Linked DNA regions of Alligator mississippiensis. The protein of the gene in region 1 binds, or shares a complex with, the protein of each later gene. Links are inferred from orthologs where the notes say so. Each region holds a gene or a part of one and is shown on either strand. Other genes may lie near its edges.

What was found.
Region 2: the proteins of ATP7A (region 1) and ATOX1 are in contact, whole or in part, in an NMR structure (PDB 2K1R), measured with the Homo sapiens proteins. The link is inferred for Alligator mississippiensis from reciprocal best matches to the Homo sapiens genes ATP7A and ATOX1. Residues at the interface, in NP_000043.4 of Homo sapiens: Cys19, Asn20, Ser21, Cys22, Trp24, Thr25, Gln29, Asp67, Asp68, Met69, Gly70, Phe71, Asp72; in NP_004036.1 of Homo sapiens: Thr11, Cys12, Gly13, Gly14, Cys15, Ala18, Arg21, Val22, Lys25, Lys57, Thr58, Gly59, Lys60.

What each region holds. Positions count from the first base shown.
Region 1 is NC_081831.1:66,216,061-66,225,852, reverse strand, and holds the start of ATP7A (copper-transporting ATPase 1), read right to left. Parts: upstream 4,798-9,792; 5' UTR 4,693-4,797; intron 1,825-4,692; 5' UTR 1,767-1,824; intron 358-1,766; 5' UTR 261-357; intron 1-260. Other genes in the region: cytochrome c oxidase subunit 7B, mitochondrial, read right to left, coding at 6,749-6,826, 7,641-7,765, 9,582-9,618. UniProt on the Homo sapiens protein: ATP-driven copper (Cu(+)) ion pump that plays an important role in intracellular copper ion homeostasis.
Region 2 is NC_081832.1:75,764,983-75,775,116, reverse strand, and holds the start of ATOX1 (copper transport protein ATOX1), read left to right. Parts: upstream 1-5,881; 5' UTR 5,882-5,975; coding exon 5,976-5,981; intron 5,982-7,240; coding exon 7,241-7,316; intron 7,317-10,134. UniProt on the Homo sapiens protein: Binds and deliver cytosolic copper to the copper ATPase proteins. May be important in cellular antioxidant defense.

The DNA of each region.
Region 1 (9,792 bases):
AAAAAACAATATTAGTTTTGTAAAATGAAGGCTACATCACAGCTCAGATCTCATATTCAATAGTGTGCCCCACCTAAACTCAGGTCCCTTAATAGCTTTTCTAGTCTCAGGACCAAAAAGGATACATTTTTTAACGTGCTGTAGAGACATTAATTGCTTCCTCACTTTAAAATGAAAAAGCCAAGTTTGTCCAAGCTATGTGGGAAGCACACCAGTTTCTGTAGCCAATAGCACAACATCATGCCTAGTGACCGACTCACCAGCCTGAAAGACCAGGATCCCAATTACAGTAGGGCATGCAAGGCCAGAGCAAGCCTTGATGCCATGTCTCTGGAGCCACTGTCTTATTCTGTATGCCTGTCAAGAAGGTAAATATTTTCAGTTTACAGCTAATGAAGCTAATAAAAGGCTGTCAGACTCATCTGGTCACATGTGCTTGGAAACAGACTCCATAAGATTTAACTCTTAGATCCTTATCCTAACTGCTAAACTAGATCATTACCTGTTCCAAATCTGAATGTCTAGCTTAGCAATTCCTGCTACATATTTATTATTTATATTCTAGCAAAACCAAAGATGCATTAGGAATAATATCACAGAGAAAAAATGGGCAGTGTTGAATAGAAAAATATGCATACAAGCCATCTTACCAGGCTGGTGAAAAGTACATGTCTTGCTAGGACCAGGGTGCTGATCATGTTTTAATCTATTATTTTCAATAGCAAAAAGCTAAAGAAGCAAGGTGACTTAAGGAAAAAAATTATACCAAACTCTTGCCAGTAAGAGTAATTTCATGGAACTTTGTCATCTTCAGTAACAAATGATTACATGCATTTCTCTTGTATACGGAAGCATAACTAGGCTTAACCCTTGGGGGGGGGGGGGAAACCACTGTACCCTGAGCACATTTAAGATGGATTTGAGACCCTCAAATGAGTCTATTTTGTATTGCTTAAAACTTTACCAAGACTTGCCCACACCAGATGGATGTAGGAAGTATCTTTCAGGAGTTTAGTTCTTTTTTTTTTTTTTTTTGAGATGGGTGCTAGAAAGGATGGATGGAAAATATTTTACTTTAGTCCAAACAAGACTTTAATAAGACCAGAAGAAAATTCATAGCAAATCCCTCCATCCTCTCAGCAAATACCACACACAATGGCAGCTGGAGATTTTTGGAGAATATGACTGTCGTATCTGTACTATTAAGCATATCCGTAACATTAAAAATAGATGGCATTTCAAACACTAAGTATATAAAGAACCCCTTATTTTTTAGATTAGCTTTAGAATACTAACAAGAACAATGTGCCGTGTCTTATGTAGGCATCAATAAAAAAAAAAAAACACAAGAGCAGCAAGAATAGTAAGTTACAAGTTACATTAGCTTTCCTTTGATCTGTTCAACACTTGCAGAAAAGTGCGCTCTCTCTCTTCTATATGCAACTAATTATCATTCCCTGATCACATCCAGACCATAGGGTCTCAACTAGTCTTACTAATATTAATAGCACCTTTGCACAAATATAAAAGTTATTTCTTATCCAACTTCATTAAACAAATTTGTCCAAAACAATTGTCATACACACTTTCATCAATACTACCCTGATAAAAATCCAAACAACAGACAGTTTCCATTAAATATATCCAAGTTCTGTCAACCACGTGAGTTATTTTGCATCATATCAGAAACAGTGCAAATACACACACACACACACTTTAATGCAAAATATACATTCCCCCCCACCCTGATTAGAATATATCCTTACAAAATTAAACTGGGCGTCAGTCTTCTGGAACTTCCCAAATTTTCAGAGGAGGTAGCATCTGCCAATTAATAAAGAAAAAAAAATGATGCAATTGGGTTTAAATGCAGAGGTCTATTCTCCAGTGACTGCATGAAAGATCTATGTGAGCTATGACCATTCTGGCTAATGAGAATTGTATGCAATTTCCCAGAGCACAGATAGAGGACAAGTATTACAGTCTAAGGAGGGATGTCTTAGGGTATTACAGCTCTAGAAAATGTAATAAATAGCCCATTTACTATCCTGTACATAGTAAGAGTATGCAAATGCTTGCCTGACCTTTATGCAAAGTATCTGTGCCTTTGCCATGTGCCACTACTAGCTGACCTATGAGATTAAAATCCTTTGTAATGGTTATTAAACGTACTACAATTAGACAGTATTGATGAATTGCATACCATTCACTAATTGAATGGTACAATCACTATTCACATTTTATTTTGTTACTTCCTGTTTTTCACCCAGTTTGATACTGAACCTTTTTGTTGGTTAAGTTCCACATCAGCCGAGTGATATAACATATGCTTGGAAATATTAGAAAATATATTTCCATTTGATTTCTATTTTCAACTTCATAGAAATATTTCAGTTGCTCTTGGGTTTGGTAATTTTTATTTTGCAATAACAAACCTGGCCCAAATTCAACCTGGTGGTCTCTAATACCTCTATATAGTAATAATAATAATTAAAAAAAAATCAATAAATACATGTGTATAGATGTGTATATGGAGTCTAATGGATATTTATTCACTGATTTTTTTTGTTAACAAGTTACCTAAATATCCTAAATTGGGGGTATAAATGAAAGTAAAAGATGTGGTATGTGGCTTTTATAATATGGTGCTAATACTAAAAAAAAAAAATGCAGAGCTTGGATTGCAAGACTCTTTTGCAAATTAAGCCACTCTGCTGGAGAGACTCGAGAAAAAACATGTGATTAGTCCATTTTGGTGCCATAGCTGTCAAGTATTAAATAGTTTCAATTTCCTTTGACTTCAGTTCATTGGAAAAATATCCCTCTTAGAGATGCCACTCAGACAAGAAGAAAGAAGATGGTCCATGTGACTGAGGTTAATCCTTTTGTATTTTGTATAACAGACTGATTATCTGGCAGATATTTCCTACCACTCAGTATGTCAGTACTCTTTCTATACTAGAGGGCTGATATTAGAATTTGATTAAGTGAATTTGGGGAGGGGGGAGGTCTCATCCTGGCTTTCACTACTATCATTAGATTGATGTAGGACAAAGGCACCTGTTATATTGAGATGGGCATCATCACCTGTTGCAGTTCAGAAATGAGGATCACTGGCAAACAAAGAAGGACAGGAGTTGAAGCATTCACACACATACATTGTGCCTTCATCTGGCTAGAGATATGGGCCCATTAAGTTTAAGAAAAGCTATCTGCTTGAACTGGGCAGAAGTCAGACTATCCAATTATCCCCCCTCCACAGATAACAAAAGGGATACAAGTAGAAGATCATATTCTGTTTCTCTTTTGCCATCATGTCTGGCTCTAAAGGTCATAAAATTATGTCCCTGCTCAGGAAACTTGTAAGAAATGTTTATTGTGGAAACGCTGAGATCTTAACTGTGCACACAACATAGCCATGCTACAGCTGAGTACTAGGATGTTCCAGTGGGAACCTTGCTGTTCCAATGAAGTGACTGTCCTCATTCAGAGGACGAGTCATTGAACAAAATGACTTAGTGTCATGTTGCATTCAAATCCTTTCTTTGACAAGATTTTTTTTTGTGTTTAGTTAATAATAAGGGGTCGATAGCAAATGCAAGCTCTTCATCTGTTGATCTATGAATAAATCAATGTATAGTATTATATTTCAAGAAGGAACTGATCCTTGTGTCTGTCAGCAAATCTTATATCAGAACAGTTCTCTGGGTTTCTGCTTGAAGCAAAATGCACAAGTGCAAAGTAAAAATAAAGAACCCAGCCTATGTCTAGGGATGCCACCTCTGTTTGAATCTATTCTGGGAGGCTTCATTACTTGACATAATGACATAAGTTACTTGACATCAGGAAAGCAAGTGCACACAACTATTACGTTTTAAAAACCCGCTGGACTACTGTATAAATCGGATCCAATATTTAATGTTTATTTTAACGAATACCCTATCATTTATCTTCTGGGTGACTCTCAGCAATCTCCTGGAGATTTATATCCAATTTCTGGAGATGCCAGGGAAATCCTGGAGGACTGGCAACCCTACTTATGTCTGATTTCTCCCCCTTTAAAACGAGGATAGTATTAGCAATCTCCTACATAACAAGCTTTGAAATCAAGAGAGATATACAAGATTTAAGCTGTCTTCTGGGCAGCATCGCCTGGCTCGGCACCAACTACCACTTATCAGAGGCGTCCTGGGGAAGCGGAGTTTATACTGGGACTATTCCTGTTAAGCAAGTTTCCCCGTAATCGCTCGGCGCATCTGTCCGTGCGAGAAGCGCCCAGTCACTGTGGCATCCAGCTACCAGACGCGAGCGCTAAAGGGACGTTCAGGTCTGGGGCCCCTGCCAAGCCGACGGCATTTCCAGGCATCTCAACATCACCCATGTTTTCCCCTGAAGTTGCTCTTCCCCCAGGGCGAAGGACGCTCCCTGGCACCAGCTGCTGCAAGAGGAACTAACAGAGCCCAGCTCATCCTGCTGCCACCATGTCCCAGCGCAGGCCCACTGCTAATATTACCACCCCCGTCCACGCTCAGCGCAACCAGCACCCAGCATCCCCGCCACCCCGCTCGGCCTCCCGCTTCCTCATGCTTCCCCCTGGCTCTGGCAGACCCCCCCCCGGCTGCAGGGGCTGAGCGCGGGGCCCACACAACCGAGCCCTGCGTGCCCCCCGCCCCAGGGCGCACCCGCACTCACCACCCGCTGCTGCTACCGCTGCCACCGCCGCGCGCCGGGGGCTGCCGCCGGCGCCTCCTCATAACCCGGCCCGGGACGGCCCAGGCCCCGCCCTCGTTGCTACGCCGCCGGGCCACAGCCACGTGACCCCCGTCGGGACCCGCCCGCCCCGCGTCACGTGACTCGGACCCACGTGACGGGCAGGTGTTCACATGATCCTCGCGTTTTTCAGCCCGCACAGAATCGCGGGCCTCGGGGGCGGGGCGGGGCGGGGCGCTTGTGGCCCCCGAAGTATTTCCCTGCCGGCCAGAGGAAGCGGAGCTGGGCACAGACGGGAGGGTGGGAGGTGGCAGGATCTTTTCTTTGCGCCGGGACCCGAGGGACGAAGAAGATGCGAGCGCGGCCGGAGCAGGCAAACACCTGGTGGTGCACGGCGCGTGCATCAGCAATCTGGTCAGGTGCCTGATGAAGCCCTTGTCGCTGACGAGCCTGGTTCGGGAGCAGCCCGGCGTGTTACAGTGTGTCGGATCCAGGTGCCATTTTAACTTTACAGCCTGCTGCTCCGGCTCAAAGCTGCGCCCAGTGAGTGCCGGATCTTCCCTCCAGCCTGGAGGAGGTTCTGCTCACTCCTCCCAGAAGGACTCCATATAATTTGGCACAACCCTGGCTTCTAGAGCAGTCTCAGACCTTTGCTGTACAAAATGTTTTGGGGGATACAGGTTACAGCATCACTTAAATGTACTTGCTTGTAAATTCAGCCACATCATTTTGACAGCAGGAGGGGAATGAATACCCAGTAGAGGTCTTTGTCACCCACCTGTACATAGCTGCAAAATAAAAAGCCTGCTGCAGTCAGCTTGTGCAATCCCGTCTGCAGCTAGATTACACAAGGACGTGCCTTTGTGCAGCAGGATGTCACATGTGGTTCAATGTACTTGGACAAAAACTAAATTAGATTATCCAGTCATCACGAGCTTTTAAAGGCATAGGTGATACAAAATAGCAACCGTTTATTCTAGAGGCTGGTGTAGAGTAAGATTCAGCACATCAAAAGGCATTACTATGGAGCCTAGAGGCCCTACAGTCTTAAGTACTGAAAGACAGCAAGCCAAAGTCCTGTCTCTTGTAGAGTTAGTTACTACCACTGTTCTGCAGGATGCTTTTGCATTTTTACAACTCTGGAGACAGAGGAAGTGGTCTGTTTTCAAATAATGCTCCATAACACAGCACATCTTTTGTCAAAGAGAACTGCTTGACTTATTTGTTATGCTAGTTACTAAAGAGACATTTACTAACTGCAGAATTAACATCAGTATATTTTACTGGATAAACACTGAAAGTCATCATCAGGAGGAGGCACAGAAAGTGGGACTAGCAGATTAGGATTCTATAACCAAGCCCCTCTAAGCAGAAGACTGAAATAGGGTACCTATATTCCTAGCTCCAATAACTAAGTGACCAATGTCCCTTGAAGCCTTCAAGACTGCTGTGCAAGTAAAATGGCATAAAAAAGCACTTCCTAATCTTTTCAATTATGCAAGCCTACTTTTAGTGCAAGTCCAACTCTTCGAAGAGAACTGCTGTTGGAGTAACAACCCCAGCTTAGAAACTACTGATAGGAAATAGAGAAACCACCCCACTTCATGAACGAGAGAAAAGTACAACTAGTATGCACTGCATTTTACATGGTAAAGTCCAATGCTCCAATTTCAATTACGGAGTGGGCCCAATACTAAGGCAGATCTCCCTGCATTGGGTCCATAAATGTCTATTTTTAACAGGATCCAAGAAAAACATGTTTTAGAACACTTATTTATGCATGTTTTCTTTATGGACCTCATTGAAATAAACCCTTAAAAAAAACTATTTTTTTTTAACCAAAATGCTTAACATTTCTTACTATAAAATATGGGACAGGAACAAACTAGATGAAACAGGAGTTTAATGCATTTATTATACCAGTAATGCCATGAGGTACATGGCAATCAGTAAACGGATGCAATTACACATATGACATAAGCATGTTTTAATGGAAAATCCACACCAGTTCAGGGTTTTAATCACTGTAAATCAAAAGCTAGTCTTCTCTCCATTCCTTTGGAGTGACTCTGCCAACTGGTGACAAATTCCACTCTATTCCAATTTGTGTTGCCGCCTGGAAGAGGATAAAGTTACAAGAAGAAATTAATGTACCCTTAAGTCAGGAAAAACCCATATTTTTAAGTTAGCTGCATAAAGCAGTTGACACAAATTCTGTTTTTCTTAAAGTTAGATTTCAAATAGCTGTTTGAAGACAACTTGGAGAGTACACTGAAGTCATTTTATTTTCTAGTAGTACATTTTTAGACATCAAACCTAACAATTTTATTCACTCTTTATTATAGCAATAGCATTAATATATCTATACTAGAAGAGTAATTTGTATTTCAAGCATGTAGTAATTCTCTTAAGATCCACCTCATACTTGTAATATTATACAGTGCAAGAACCAGATGTATAGTCCTCTAACTTAAAACCACATGCTGCTTTCCCAAACCATATATTTAAGTTCAGCATATGCAACAGCATTAGAATAATACATCTCTCTTATAATATAGCTACCCATTACTTTAATCAAAATAAGGGAATTTGAGAATTTAACATCTTTTCTTTTTACATGAAAGTACATAAAAATAAACCACTTATTAGCTCATGTTTAATTACATTGCCCTCCTAACCAAGATTTCTAAGTGGCAATAAAATAGGTGTTCAATAGACAGTTACTCTGAATGTCAAGTCTAAGCCTGAATTTAAAAATCTCTTCCATTTCTACTATTATTTCATAAGTCATTTTCTTTTAGGAAGCTCTGAAACCCTGATTTTGCATTGTGTACCACACAGACAAATGCTTAAAGTAACTATCAGTTTGCAAGATCAGGGCTACATTTGCATCAGACCCCCATCAGTGGTACCAGTTACACAATACTTACGTATGTCCACACAGCGAGGCAAAATACAGTTCCACCAATTAGCACCATGTTTCCATATTTATCATGAAAGTCAGGTTCATGTTTCTGATGAACCTGTCTTGCTGAAATCCTCCAAATGTCCCGAGCTAAAAGAAATAAATGTAAGGTTCAAAGGGAGATCTACAAATGGATTAAAATACTCAGCTCTCCAGGAAGCTCCACCCATTCAGAGATGGATATACTAAACACAAGGATGCTTTCTATTCAAATAAATCAGTTTAATTCATTTTGTTGGTGAATAGTTTTAAAAATCTCAATAAGAAGTACAATTCAAGAATCCTCCACGCAAATGAACATTTGCTATCTCCTTTTACACTCTCCAATGCTGCACTATTTCTTCAGTTACTAAAACACATAACTGTGAATGATCACTGATCAGTCATGAACTCCAAGGAAGTCTACCTTTAATTTAAACTTTACTAGAAGTAACTAGAGTACTAGTACTGTGGGGCAGATAATGCTGAATTAGATACAAGAAGAGGGGCTGGGGACTGCAGGATTTGTTGTTTTCTTTTGTAGATACAGATGTAAACGTGAGGTCCAAACAAATGGCTTTGGAAGAGACCATATCAGCAGTTGTGCTGGGTAAAAAGCTCTTGGGGCAATAACAATAGGAAGTCCTGCTTTTAGTGAAAGGACTAATTTGGCAGGGGGGAAGGGGGTTCACTCTCCCCTTATGTGCCCACTCAGTGCCACTGTGACAAGTTTTATTTCAATTTAATGTTAATTCTATGCTGTTTCAGTAAAAAAACAAAACAAAACATTCTCTATCTGTGGCTCCAGTGAGATATCCTGGAGCACGAATTAGCTTCAAGGTACACACACTGAACAAGAGAGGTTGAGCTAGCAAGAAAAGGGGAAGGAGAATGGAAACAAAAATACCAAACACGCATGCAGGCTTTTCAGTGCCAACCTCAATGCTAACCTGCTTTCAAGGGAAGTAGAAAGTAGGCAAGAATAAGCAGCTATGGATTATTGAACTGTTACCAGCACTATATATTCTTCCAGGAACATTTCAGCAGTTTGGATTTATTATTATTATTATTATTTTACAGTAAAACCACCATAATAAACATTCCAAGAACACCTGTAACTTCAACCTAAACACCGTATGAAGTTAAACATTGGTATAAGATTCAGTTTGAATAAGTATGAAAAAAAACCTGCCACTGCATGCACCCTAATGACGCAGTCAATCTCTTCCTGGGCCGGACCCGATGACTTTAGGAGGTCCCTTCCAGCCCTAATGTCTACGGAACCTGTGAAATCCGAGGGCTTTCAGACGTTAACATTTATTTCTAACGGTCATCCTGCCACATCCAGCAGAAGACAAGCCAGTCATGCTGAAAGAGGCAGACAAGGTTTCTTTGGGAAGATGCGATCTCTTTTATTAGGCCAACTAAATCGTTGTGAAAACTGTTCGTTGCAAGCTTTGGGGCACAAACACCCTTCCTTCAAGCACGGGGAGAGTCTGCTGGGGTTTTGCCTTCTCAGTCTGTGCCCCAAAGCTTGCAACGAACAGTTTCCCCAACGATGCAGGCGGTGTAATAGAAGACATCTCATCTTCCCCATGAACCATGTCTGTGTCCCTACACCACCGACCCCCGCGGGAGCCCTCCTGCAGCCCTGCTCGCATCTGGGCGACCCCAGGCAGCCTCTCTCCATATTAAACAGTTTTTAATCGTTTTTGCTTTTCAAAGCAACAGACGAGGCGGCGCCCAGAGGGGCAGCAACCTGCATACCGAGACCCGATGCCAGGCCCGGCTTGGGGCTGCGAGACCGGGCAGGACGAGCGCTGCAACCATGTACCCCCGGGTCTGCCCTCAGCACGAGCCCTGCGTCCTCCAGGCCTCACAGCCCCTCTCCCCGCGGCAGGAGTGTCCCCCTCCCGGCCCCGCTCACCCGTGCGGCCCAGCGCGGCGCCGGCCCAGGGCAACATCGCGGCGAAAAAACCGGTCCCGCAGCAGCGCCCTTGGCTAACGGTGAAAAACAAAATGGCGACCAACCGGAAGTCGCCGCCCGCCACGCATGCGCAGAGGAGCAGGGCAGCCTGGGAAATGTAGTGTTGGGCCAGGGCTCGGGAAACGCGCGGCTGTGCAGCGGAGGGCGGCGG
Region 2 (10,134 bases), on another chromosome or scaffold:
CCCCCCCCCCCGCAGACATCCTATTGCCCATCTTCGTCCCCGCCTAGGGCAGGGGGCCGGACCCCACCATCTCGCGAGGGCCCTTCCAGCCCCCCGCAGCCACGGCTGTTTTGCCACGAACTTTTGTAAGGCAGCACGCTTGCGAGACGTCACGAAGGAGAATTGCCACCGTGCTGGGTGGTGGGACACAACAAACAAACAAAAAAACCAACCCAGGGAGGTTTCGAACCAGCGATCCCAGCGAGTCTGGTTCAACCCGCTCCTGCCCGAAATCCGTTTGTAGGGAAGGTTTTTTTGGGGGGAAAAAATATATATATATATATATGTATATAGATTAATTATATGGATAGCTGCACAGAGAGGTTGTCGCTATAGGTACGTGGGTGTGCAGGCAGGTGGGTGGGTAGTTAGACGGGGGGAGGTAGGTAGGTGTGCCGGTCGGTAAGTAGGCGGGTGTCCTCGTGCGGAGCCGGGCCCGGCTCTTCCCCGCCCAAGGCCCCTCGTGCGCGGCCGCCGCCGCCATCTCTTTCATTCTTGGGGCGGGAAGAGGCGGACGTGGGAGCGGGACTCGCGCCCCTCCCCCCCCCGCTCCCTCCCTCCCCACGCGCGAGGACAAAGCTGGGCCGCGACCCCTCCCCCCGCCCGCCCCACCCCCGCGCGTGAGGGGAACGCGCCCCTCCCCCCCCTCCCGGGGCACCAACCGCCGGCGGCAGCAGGGCCGGGCGGCGGCGCTGACCTGCGAGCGGAGCGGGGCCGGCAGCGGGAGGCGTCGCTTCAGCACCGGGCGACGAGAAGCACCTCACGCAACGGCGTGCTCCGGCACCGGCTGCTCCCTATATAGCCGCGGCGCAGCCTAGCCCCACGGCGGCGCCCACAGCCAATGGGAGGTCGGCGACTTGGCCCACTCGGAAGCTGGTTGGCTGGCGAGTGGGCAAAGAGGCGGGAAGGGGGTTGAGCGGCAGGCGAGCCGCCCTACGGAGCGGCGGCGCTGTTGGAGCGGCCGGGCGCGCGGAGCAGCCAGTAGGAAGCCAGAGGGAAGCCGTGGAGGTGGGATAAGGCTGGATGGATTGGCCGCCCGGCCAATAGGGCGACGCTCCCATCGCCATTAAGGCGCAAGGGTCAGTCAGGACGGGTTGCCGAGTGCGGTTGAGCCGTAGCGATCAGCCCGTGGGCCTTCTGAGGGAGACCCCGTGTGGAGGCAGGGGCGGCAACCCTGGCGCGGCTCAGCCAATGAGCGCGCGCGCCTGCCCGTGATCGATAGGCCGCGGGCTGCGGCGTCTTAAAGGGGCCGCGGCTCTGCCTGCTCAGAGCGCCCCCTACTGGAGGGGAGGCTGCACGGCTGCGCGCTGTCCCAGCCCCACGCGCGACCCGCAGCACACTTACCCCACGCGTGATTTTCCCCGCCCCATTAATTTTTCCCCATGCTGGTTTTCCCAACCCGGGATTTCCCCCCACCCACCCACTCACTCATGAATTCCCCCTAATGCGTACAAGACCCAGCCCCATCTCCCTGCAGGGCTGCTGCAGGCCCCCCACGCCCGGCCCAACACGCACCTTCCAGCCTGCAGAGCCTCGGCGGGCACCCACGGCCCCTCCGCGACCACCCCCATGGCCCAGCACGTGGCTGCCATCACTTCTCCGCTACAAAGCGGCAACCAAACAGATGCAAAGCCAAGTTCCCCCCGCCTAAAAACGTCCCCAGTCCAGGGTGGAGCGCTGCACCCCGGCCCCAGGAGCAGCACGACGCGGGGTCTCACCTCTCTGGCCATGGGGATCGCAGAGCTTCCCCGGGCACCTTCCGCCGGTGGCATCCACCTGCTCCTAGGAGCTCCTCCAAAAAGGCCAAGTCTTCCTTCCCCGTCCACGCGCATTACCCCGTCCCCACCCAGGCACCCTCCAGAGAGGGGGTCATATCAGACCCCATAGCAAGGCCTCGTCCCGAGCCAACACACGGGTAGAAACCGTCGTGCAAACCAGCGGTCATCGCTGGACCGCCGGCGGCAAGCAGAGATGCTACTCCCCAAGCAGCTTTTAGCCTAGGAGCGTTGCTGGACTAATTAGCTCGAAGCAGTGGTAATTACCCAGGGCGTTGCCACATGCTACCCAGGTTTGGGACAGCAGGAATCAAAGGCCACGGGAGGACAAGTCATGGAAACCGCCTCCCCCATGCTCTCAGGCAGGGATTCACAAGGATGGGGCTGGCCTTATGCCATCCGTGGCATGAATACCCTCCCTTTCTGCACCCCCCCCCCCCTTGCTATTTATATACTGAGCTGCATTGCGAGCCGCCAGCTCATAAATCAGAGGCACAGGCCCCTGCTGAGTTTAATAGGAGGCAAGTGACCGCACAGGACAGCCACGTAACAGAGCCCCCCTCTCTCCGCCGTGCAGGGGGACCTCGGTCACCCGTCAGAGCGCAGAGATCCCTGCTCCCAAGTCACCTCTCCCTTGCAAAAGAGCCGGATCAGTGCCTCCTATTAGAGCAGTGACCAGAGGCTGCGGCAAAACAGCATCCAGCCTGACCCCTGTGTTAAGGAGACTTGGTGTTGTCTTCCAGGTGGGATGCGCTGCTGATGCCCCCAGGGAGAAAGCAAGTTTGGGAGGGGGCACCTATTAGAAATGGGTATTTTTCCAGGTTTGTGGAACAGCTTTGCTTGCTGTAGGCAGCAGAGCGTGAGATATCTGGTGATTTTTCCACCTGAGATACGGGAGAAAGGGAAGTTTGAGCCAGGCATGAAGTAGACAGCTGCTGCCTGTGACTTCCCCCTCCGTGCAGCCCTGCCGACATATTTCCACCCTGACCTACTGCACTCCTTTGATCCCTGCTCCAGGCCCCCCGCACCGCTCTGCCGACGCTCCTCACTCCAGTCCTGCAGTGACCCCGCTCTTCCCAGCCTCGGCTCCATCCTTCCTGGGATCTCTGCACCCCCACGGGAAACACCTCTCTCCCCCGCACACCTGGGACCCAGCTCCCACACGCTCTTCCCCTGCTCCGCTTCTCCAGGGGGATAAGCAAACACAGGGGCCAAAAGCAGACTGCTTCTCCCCACCAAGCAGAGACCGCAAGGGAGTCCCTACAAAGACTGGGACACGGACCCTTCACATGGGGCATCGACAAGACTGTCACCCCACACAACACCCCTATAATCTCTTAAATCTCATGAGCCGAAGCAACCAAACAAAGCCCAGCCAATGCCTCCCAGCTAGCCTAACGCAACCAGCTCCAGCCTTATCTTCACAGCCATTTCCCTTTCCCACTCCCCCATCAACCTTTGTATCCCACACTGATATTAGCCCTTTAATCATGCTATGCAGGGCAGCCTGTGCTAAACTGAATCCCTCACAGCTGCCAAGGATCCACATCAAACCAGCTGCAAAGTTTCTGAATCACCAGCCTTTCAAACCTCTTTGGCTCACATGGCTGCCTTGACCCTCCCCAATTCACCCCCCAACACTCAAATGAGACTTTATTTTCCCCAGCAGACTTTAGCTAGGAAAAATTCAACCCCCCCCCCAAACCCAATCAAATTCCTAGTAATTATTAGGCACACTTGACATCAGCTTTAATCCATTTCCTAATTAAGAGTGGAAATCTTTTGTTATTTCTTTAAAAGAAAAAAAAATCCCTTACCTTTCTTCCAAAATTTTACCAGCTCTGGCTCATTACCCCCATGGGGAAGGGAGGAAAAATATGTAAGTGGGTGAGGCCCTGCAGCGCTATCAGGTTATCCGAGGTAAGTTCCTCCAGCCAAGATGAAACCTAAGAACCACACGCCACCCCCCACAACCTGCTAATGAAATATCTTCCATCCCAGGGAGCGGGCTCACTTATAGTGTAGATTAGACTTGCTTTCAGCAGGGTGAAATAAAGGGCAGTTTGGTCTAAATCCTGCCTCGTCGGATGTGGCTCATGAACCTAGGATGGTTCTTGCCACCCGCGTGACTGCAAAAAACACTAGTTGTATTGCTTCTTGCTGCACGGTGGGCATGTCTTTCCCGGAAGCACCAGTAACGCAACACCCCCGCACCCACTAGCAACGTTAACTACTGCACGGTTGGCTTTTCCTCCTCTTTCGAACCAGAGAGTGCAGCGATTCCCTCTGAGGGCGTGCGCTGCTGTGGTTCTGAGCAGCGAGCGCTCTCGCGTGCAACCCCCGTGCTGTCCTGACACTTGCTGCGGTCTTTCCCCTCGGTTTGCCCTACTTCTGTGGGGGCTTTCCTACTTTTCCTGAAACCCCGTGTTCCTGGGAGCTGCAGTATTGCCACCTCCCCAGTGTCAAAAAGCAAGAGACAGACTCTTAAAAATCAAGAGATTTGGAATGTAAATCATGAGATGCTGGTTTTGAAGTGTGTGTGTGTGTGTGTATGTGGGGGAGGTGTTATTTGTGAAGGTTTGGGTGGGGTTTGGAGCCAACGGGGGGGGGGGGGGTGTCCCTGTACACCTTGGCAGGATGTGGGGTGCTGTAGGGCAGGAGTGAAAGCAGCAGCGGGGCTGTGGCTTGGGAGTGAGGGACACACACACACATACACACATGGCTCTGTTGCATGGGGAGGCTGTGGTTTTGGGAGCAAGGGTCCTTGATCTGCCCCCCTTTCTTTCCCCCCCATAGACTTACCAGCTTGGCGCTCTCTACTCGGACCAGAAGAAAACAAACCCCTGAGATTTTTTCTCTCTAATCAGGAGATCGTGAGTCACAGTTAATATGACTTGGAAAACAGGAGTCTTGAGATTTTTTTCATGAGAGTTGGCATTACGGGAGCTACGACCCGGGGGGACAGGCACCGAGGAATCGCCGCCGTCAGAACGGCCTAGAGGGACAGTTGCGTGGGCAGGGGACACATACTGCGCAGGTCCGGGGTACGGGACAGCCCGGTTCCTCAACCATTGCACTTACACCCATTCCACTTCACCAGGCCAGTTCGGAGCCGTCCAAAGGGGGATGCACTTTTTATGTAATGAAGGTGGCTGAGCCTGGCCTGGCGGGAGAGAGGGGCAGAGATGCACCACATGTAGAGGAAGGCTGCAGAAGGGAACTCCTCCCTGATTCACCCCCCTCCCAACACACGCACCCACCACAGCTCCATTTCGGGAGGAAGGGATGCTTCTCTGTGGACCCAGCCTGTGCTTTTGCCCAGGCTATTGGCATTGTGGGCTGCCACATGGGTCTGGGAAGGAATTGGTTTCCTTTCTGCTGCTATTCAGAGGTGGGGATTGCGACTGAGCTGTGCCAATGCTCCCGCTGGCACTCAAACCCGCAGGCTCCCGGCTACAGGGTCCTGTCCCTGCACTCAGGATGTTGTTTTGAGTTTTCTTTTAAACTTCCTCTATGCTCTTCATCTCCGCTGTAGCACATTGCTTTTAGTTTCTTCTGCAGCGGGATAATATAGCAGTCCCCCCCGGAGCCCATCACTAAAGTTTCTAGCTACTCTTTCCCTGGAGAAAAACAGGGTTGCCCTCTCTGCCATGCCATCTGCACCCATTTGTCCAAATCCTAGGTCTGCCCATGGGGTGAATCTTAGTAAAGGAGGGTGGGAAGGGACCTCAAGAGTCCCCCCCCCCTTCCCTAGTCCAGGCAGGACCAGCCCCAACTCCATCGTCCCAGCCAAGGTGGGTCTTCAACACCTCCAAGCACGCAGACTCCAGCGCTTCACCGCCCTCCTGATGTCCAACCTGCTGCAAGATGAGCCCATTGCTCCTTCTGGCGCCTGCCCCCACTGAGCCCAGCCCAGCCCAGCTCCGTGCTCTTTGCAGCCCCCCCGGTCTCCTTGGCGCACTGGTTTGGCTGGAGCGGGCGCAGCGCGCTGCATGCAGCAGCCCGAATCCGAATCCGCTCCGGCGTCCCCGCGGCTGCAGCCGGGCAGGAGGCGGAGTGGAGGCGGAGCGGGCTGAGCTCTGCCCCGGCCCCGGCTCCGCCCCGGCGGCCTGCGTGAGCCCGGATCCTGCTGCCGCTGCATCGCGGAGCCGCGCCGCAGCCATGCCGGTGGGTGCCTGCGCCGGTCCCGATCCGGATCCGAATCCGGACCTGGGTGGGGTGCGCATCCCCCCCCCCGTCCACCAGCTGGGGGCTGGCAGTGCCCGGGACCCCCCCCCCCCCAGCTTGCCAGGATGGTGCCCACGGGTTGGGTGCAAGGACGGACCCCAGGGCGTGCAAGCATCCTTTTGGGAGCTGCCCCAGGGGCAAGTCTTAAGGAGGCAGAAGCAGCGGCTCGTCGTTAGCCCCGAGCGATGCCAAAGGTGCCCAGACCTCGCTTGAAGGATGCCCCACCATGGCTTGAAGGATGCTCGGCGCCCCGCCGCTCGCCGAGGGGTCTCCAGGCAGCGTCAGACCTGCCCAACTTCCCGCAGGGCTCAGCGGACCCCGGGCCACCGTGTCTCTCCTTGTCCTGCCTCCACGCGCTCGGCTCTGCTTCGAGGGCGAGACGCTTTCCCTCGAAACGGGCCGGGCGATGTCGTGGGAAAGTCGGTTATTATCCCCGATCGTGAGCAGACGGCCCGTGTGGGAGAGCGGAGAGCCGGCCGCTTTCCTTTTTAATAGTTGTGCTGTTACCGGCATCTCTACCAGGCAGCCGGGGTCCCGTTTAAGTGTGCCCAATCGGTCCGTGCAGTGCATGTATAGGGGCGGGATTATCGGTTACGTATACCGGCAGCCGCAGTCGTGGCTTGCAGCTCAGCTGCAAAACAGGGTCCCTTCCCAAAAACTCTTACCTAAAAGGAGGCAAGACGTGGTTGCAGACAGGAGCGTGCGAAAACACGATCATGTTAGGGCAGTGACGCTCAGCCACGGGGATGTGGCACCCGGGGTGCCTTGAGATCCTTTTCGGGGTGTTGTGGGGTTGCAGTTGGCCGTGCACACGATTGGCACGATAAACCCAGAGTTTTCCGGTAGGAATTCATGGTGCTAAAACCGTGCTGCCCTGCTGCGGTTTTGCTGAGGCCTTTGCAACAGAAGAACGGCTCTAGCAGTTTTGGGCAGTCAGAAAAGGAGTGAAAAGAAAAGCTGGTCTTTTCTAGCAAGCCTGATGAGGGGTGCCTCCAGCCTAAAAAGCTTGAGAACGGTGTGCAGAAACCTGGGTCGATGCTGAGAGTCCCCGTGTTGTGCCCCGCGGGGTTGCGGCAGGAGCCTGTTTTGCTCTCCTCTCTCCTCTCTGGAGAGGAGCAGCCTTGCGCTGTGAGCTGCAGTCCCAAGGCAAAACGGGCCTCATTGCCGTCTCCAACCTCTCCTCCTCCTCCTCGTTTCAGAAGCACGAGTTCTTCGTGGACATGACCTGCGAAGGCTGCTCCAACGCGGTCACTCGTGTCCTGAATAAGCTGGGAGGTGAGTGGCACTGCGCCAGGCCTGGGAGCCAGCGGCGGGTTGCAAAGCGTGGCAACGAACTTGCTGCTGATGATGATTTACATCCCAGCCTAGCAGCCAGGTGCAGAAGTACCAGGGGACGAGTGAGCCACGTGGAACGGGAGTCCTCGCGCCAAGCCTCTGCTTCCTCCCTTCTCCTTGGCAGAGGCTGGTGCAAGGTCCCTGCTCTCCTCCCTGGTGTGCACTCTCCATCGAATGGCACCCTGGACCAGGTTTGCCGGTGCAGAAGGAGGTTGAGGGTAGCCTCAACCTGTTACCTGGGCACATCCAGGAGGCCCCAGGGAGCCTGCTGGATCCTCTGCATAGAGAAACATGCCCAAGCACATCAGCATCTCCAGGTGTGAAGCAGAAGCCGTAGGAGGTGTTCACACAGAGAGGGAGAAGGAGAAGGGGATGGGAGCTGGTGCAGGGCAGTATTCAAAGCCTGCTTGCTGCACCCCTCCTGGGAGATCGAGCCCACCCCCAAAATACATCCCCTCGCCAGGCCTGAGGAATGGGGCAGCCCTGGGGTAACCCCTGCCCGGCTGCATCCCCCTTGGGCTCGGGAAGGAGTGCAGAAGTGGGTGCTGTGGGTGTAGCATCCCCCAGAGACTCACCTTGCCCCTCACTCTGCTGCCGTGGCAGGTGGTGAGCCAGTAACTAATTATTAATCTTGCAGCAGACTCCCGTGACCCTGAGAGCGGTGGGGGAGGAGGGCAAAACTGCCTCGCAACAACAGGAAATTCCAGTCCAGTTCCTCTTCTTGCAGTGCAGGGCAGCTATGGGCCTCGGGACTGGCTTGGGCTACAGACCTGGTCCCGAGGGCAGGAGGAAAAGCCGCTGATGCCCCAGTGCAAGCGCCAGCCCAGATTGCAGCCAGACCCAGCAAGGTCCCGAGAGGGGCAGGTTGACCTGTCCAGCCCGCTGATCAAAGAGGCTGCTTTCCTTCCTGCTCCCAGAAAGCAACCCCACCCCTTCGTCTTGGCTCAGGGGAGGGCCCTGCCAAGCCAGCGGCTTTTCTCAGCTGTTCTGCTTCGGTTCTTCATGCAAGCTGACCGGGCCTTTAGCTGGAGAGCTAGCCCGGCAAGGAGAGAGCTTGCAGCTCCTACGTGCAGGCTGGCTCCTCATCCTGTATGCAAGACCTGGGGTGGTTTGGTTGTGCAGAAGCCTTCTGCCGAGCTGTGTTTACCGTGAGAGCCGGGCTGCGGTCCCCGCAAACCAGGCAGCAGTCCGGTAGAAACGAGCCACATGAAACTGGTAATCAATGAGCAGAGGCAGCCCCGATGCCGTGGAGAGCATGTGCGGCGAATGCAAATGCAGCCCGGACACCTGGCTCTCGCCGGGCCTGGTTGCACATGCATGCTTCTCTCTGGCCGGCTGCGCTGGAGGCAGAGCAAGACAATACTCTGGTTCCTGCCAGCTGGGAGACAGTCCATCCCTCTGAGCCTCTCACTGATGTAGCAGCTTGCTGCACCAGAGAGTGAGGAAGGCCTTTGGAAGGAGCAGGAAGGAGCCTGGCTACTCATCTTTCTTGCCTGATGGGACTTATATGGGGCCCCAATAACACATGTCAGCTGGTATCCCCAGTTTCTGGGGATAGTGTTTTTAATTAAATGCATGCCCTGGCTGTTTTTGAGATCCCTGCTGCTACAGAAACCAAGTTCCTGTGTTCAGTCTCGAGCCCTTGTTCCCCTTGGCCAGCTGCTTTGAACTTCTAGTTGTTTCTAAGGATGTATCTGTGCACCAAAGGGACAAGGATGTCTAGTGGTGAGAGGGACGGAGCTGGGCTTTGCCATTTGACTTTGGGGGAAGGCCATATTTGCCTGTGTGCCTCAGTTTCCCCACCTGTAAAGGGTTTATTATTGCAGAATGCCCCCCCTCCCCACTAGCATTTCCCAAGTAGACTCGGGGAGGAGATGGAGGCTGAGGGGGTCAACCCTCCAGTGACAGATGCTAGAAAAGCCTGCCTGTGCCTGCTTCCTATAGGTAGGCGTTGTGGGGATTCAGGCAAGGGAAGAGACCGTGGGAGAGGAGAGGCAATAAAGAACTGCAATTGAGGGGAATTGCAATAGAGGGAGATTCAGAGAGACCTCAACATACTGGAGGATTGGGCCAAAAGAAATCTCCTGAGGTTGAATTAGGACACATGCAAAGTCCTGCACTTCGGACAAAGCAATCCCATGCACCGGTGCAGGCTGGGGGTGACGGGCTGGGCAGCAGCTCTGCAGAAAAGGACCTGGGGTGACAGGGGACAAGAAGATGGAGATGGGTCAGCAGTGTGCCCGTGTTGCCAAGAAGGGTAAGGGCATCCTGGGCTGCATCGGTAGGAGCATTGCCAGCAAATGGAGGGAAGTGATTCTTCCCCTCTATTCGGTACGGGTGAGGCCACGCCTGGAGTCCTGTGTCCAGTTTTGGGCCCCCCACTCCAGTTTTGTGCCTGCTCCACCTCCACCTCCTGCCTGGCTGCAGCCACTTGTAACGCCGGAGCGGATTCGGATTTGGGTTCGGGTTGCAGCCACCCCGCGCACCTAGTGCATGCAGGGGTATGGGCAGCTGGGCTAGTGTTTAGAGCCCAGGCAGGGGGGCAAGCACCCCCCGGCTCAGAGGAAGGTCCCCTCCTAAGGCAGGATCAGCTCCATCCAAACCAGTTTGCAAAAGAGACTGGAGGGTGCTAATAGCAGCCTTCACCTCCCTGCAGGGGGGCTGCGAAGAGGATGGAGCTGGACTGGTCTCAGTGGGGACAGATGACAGGACAAGGAGCAATGGGCTCCAGTTGCAGCAAGAGAAGTCGAGGTTAGAT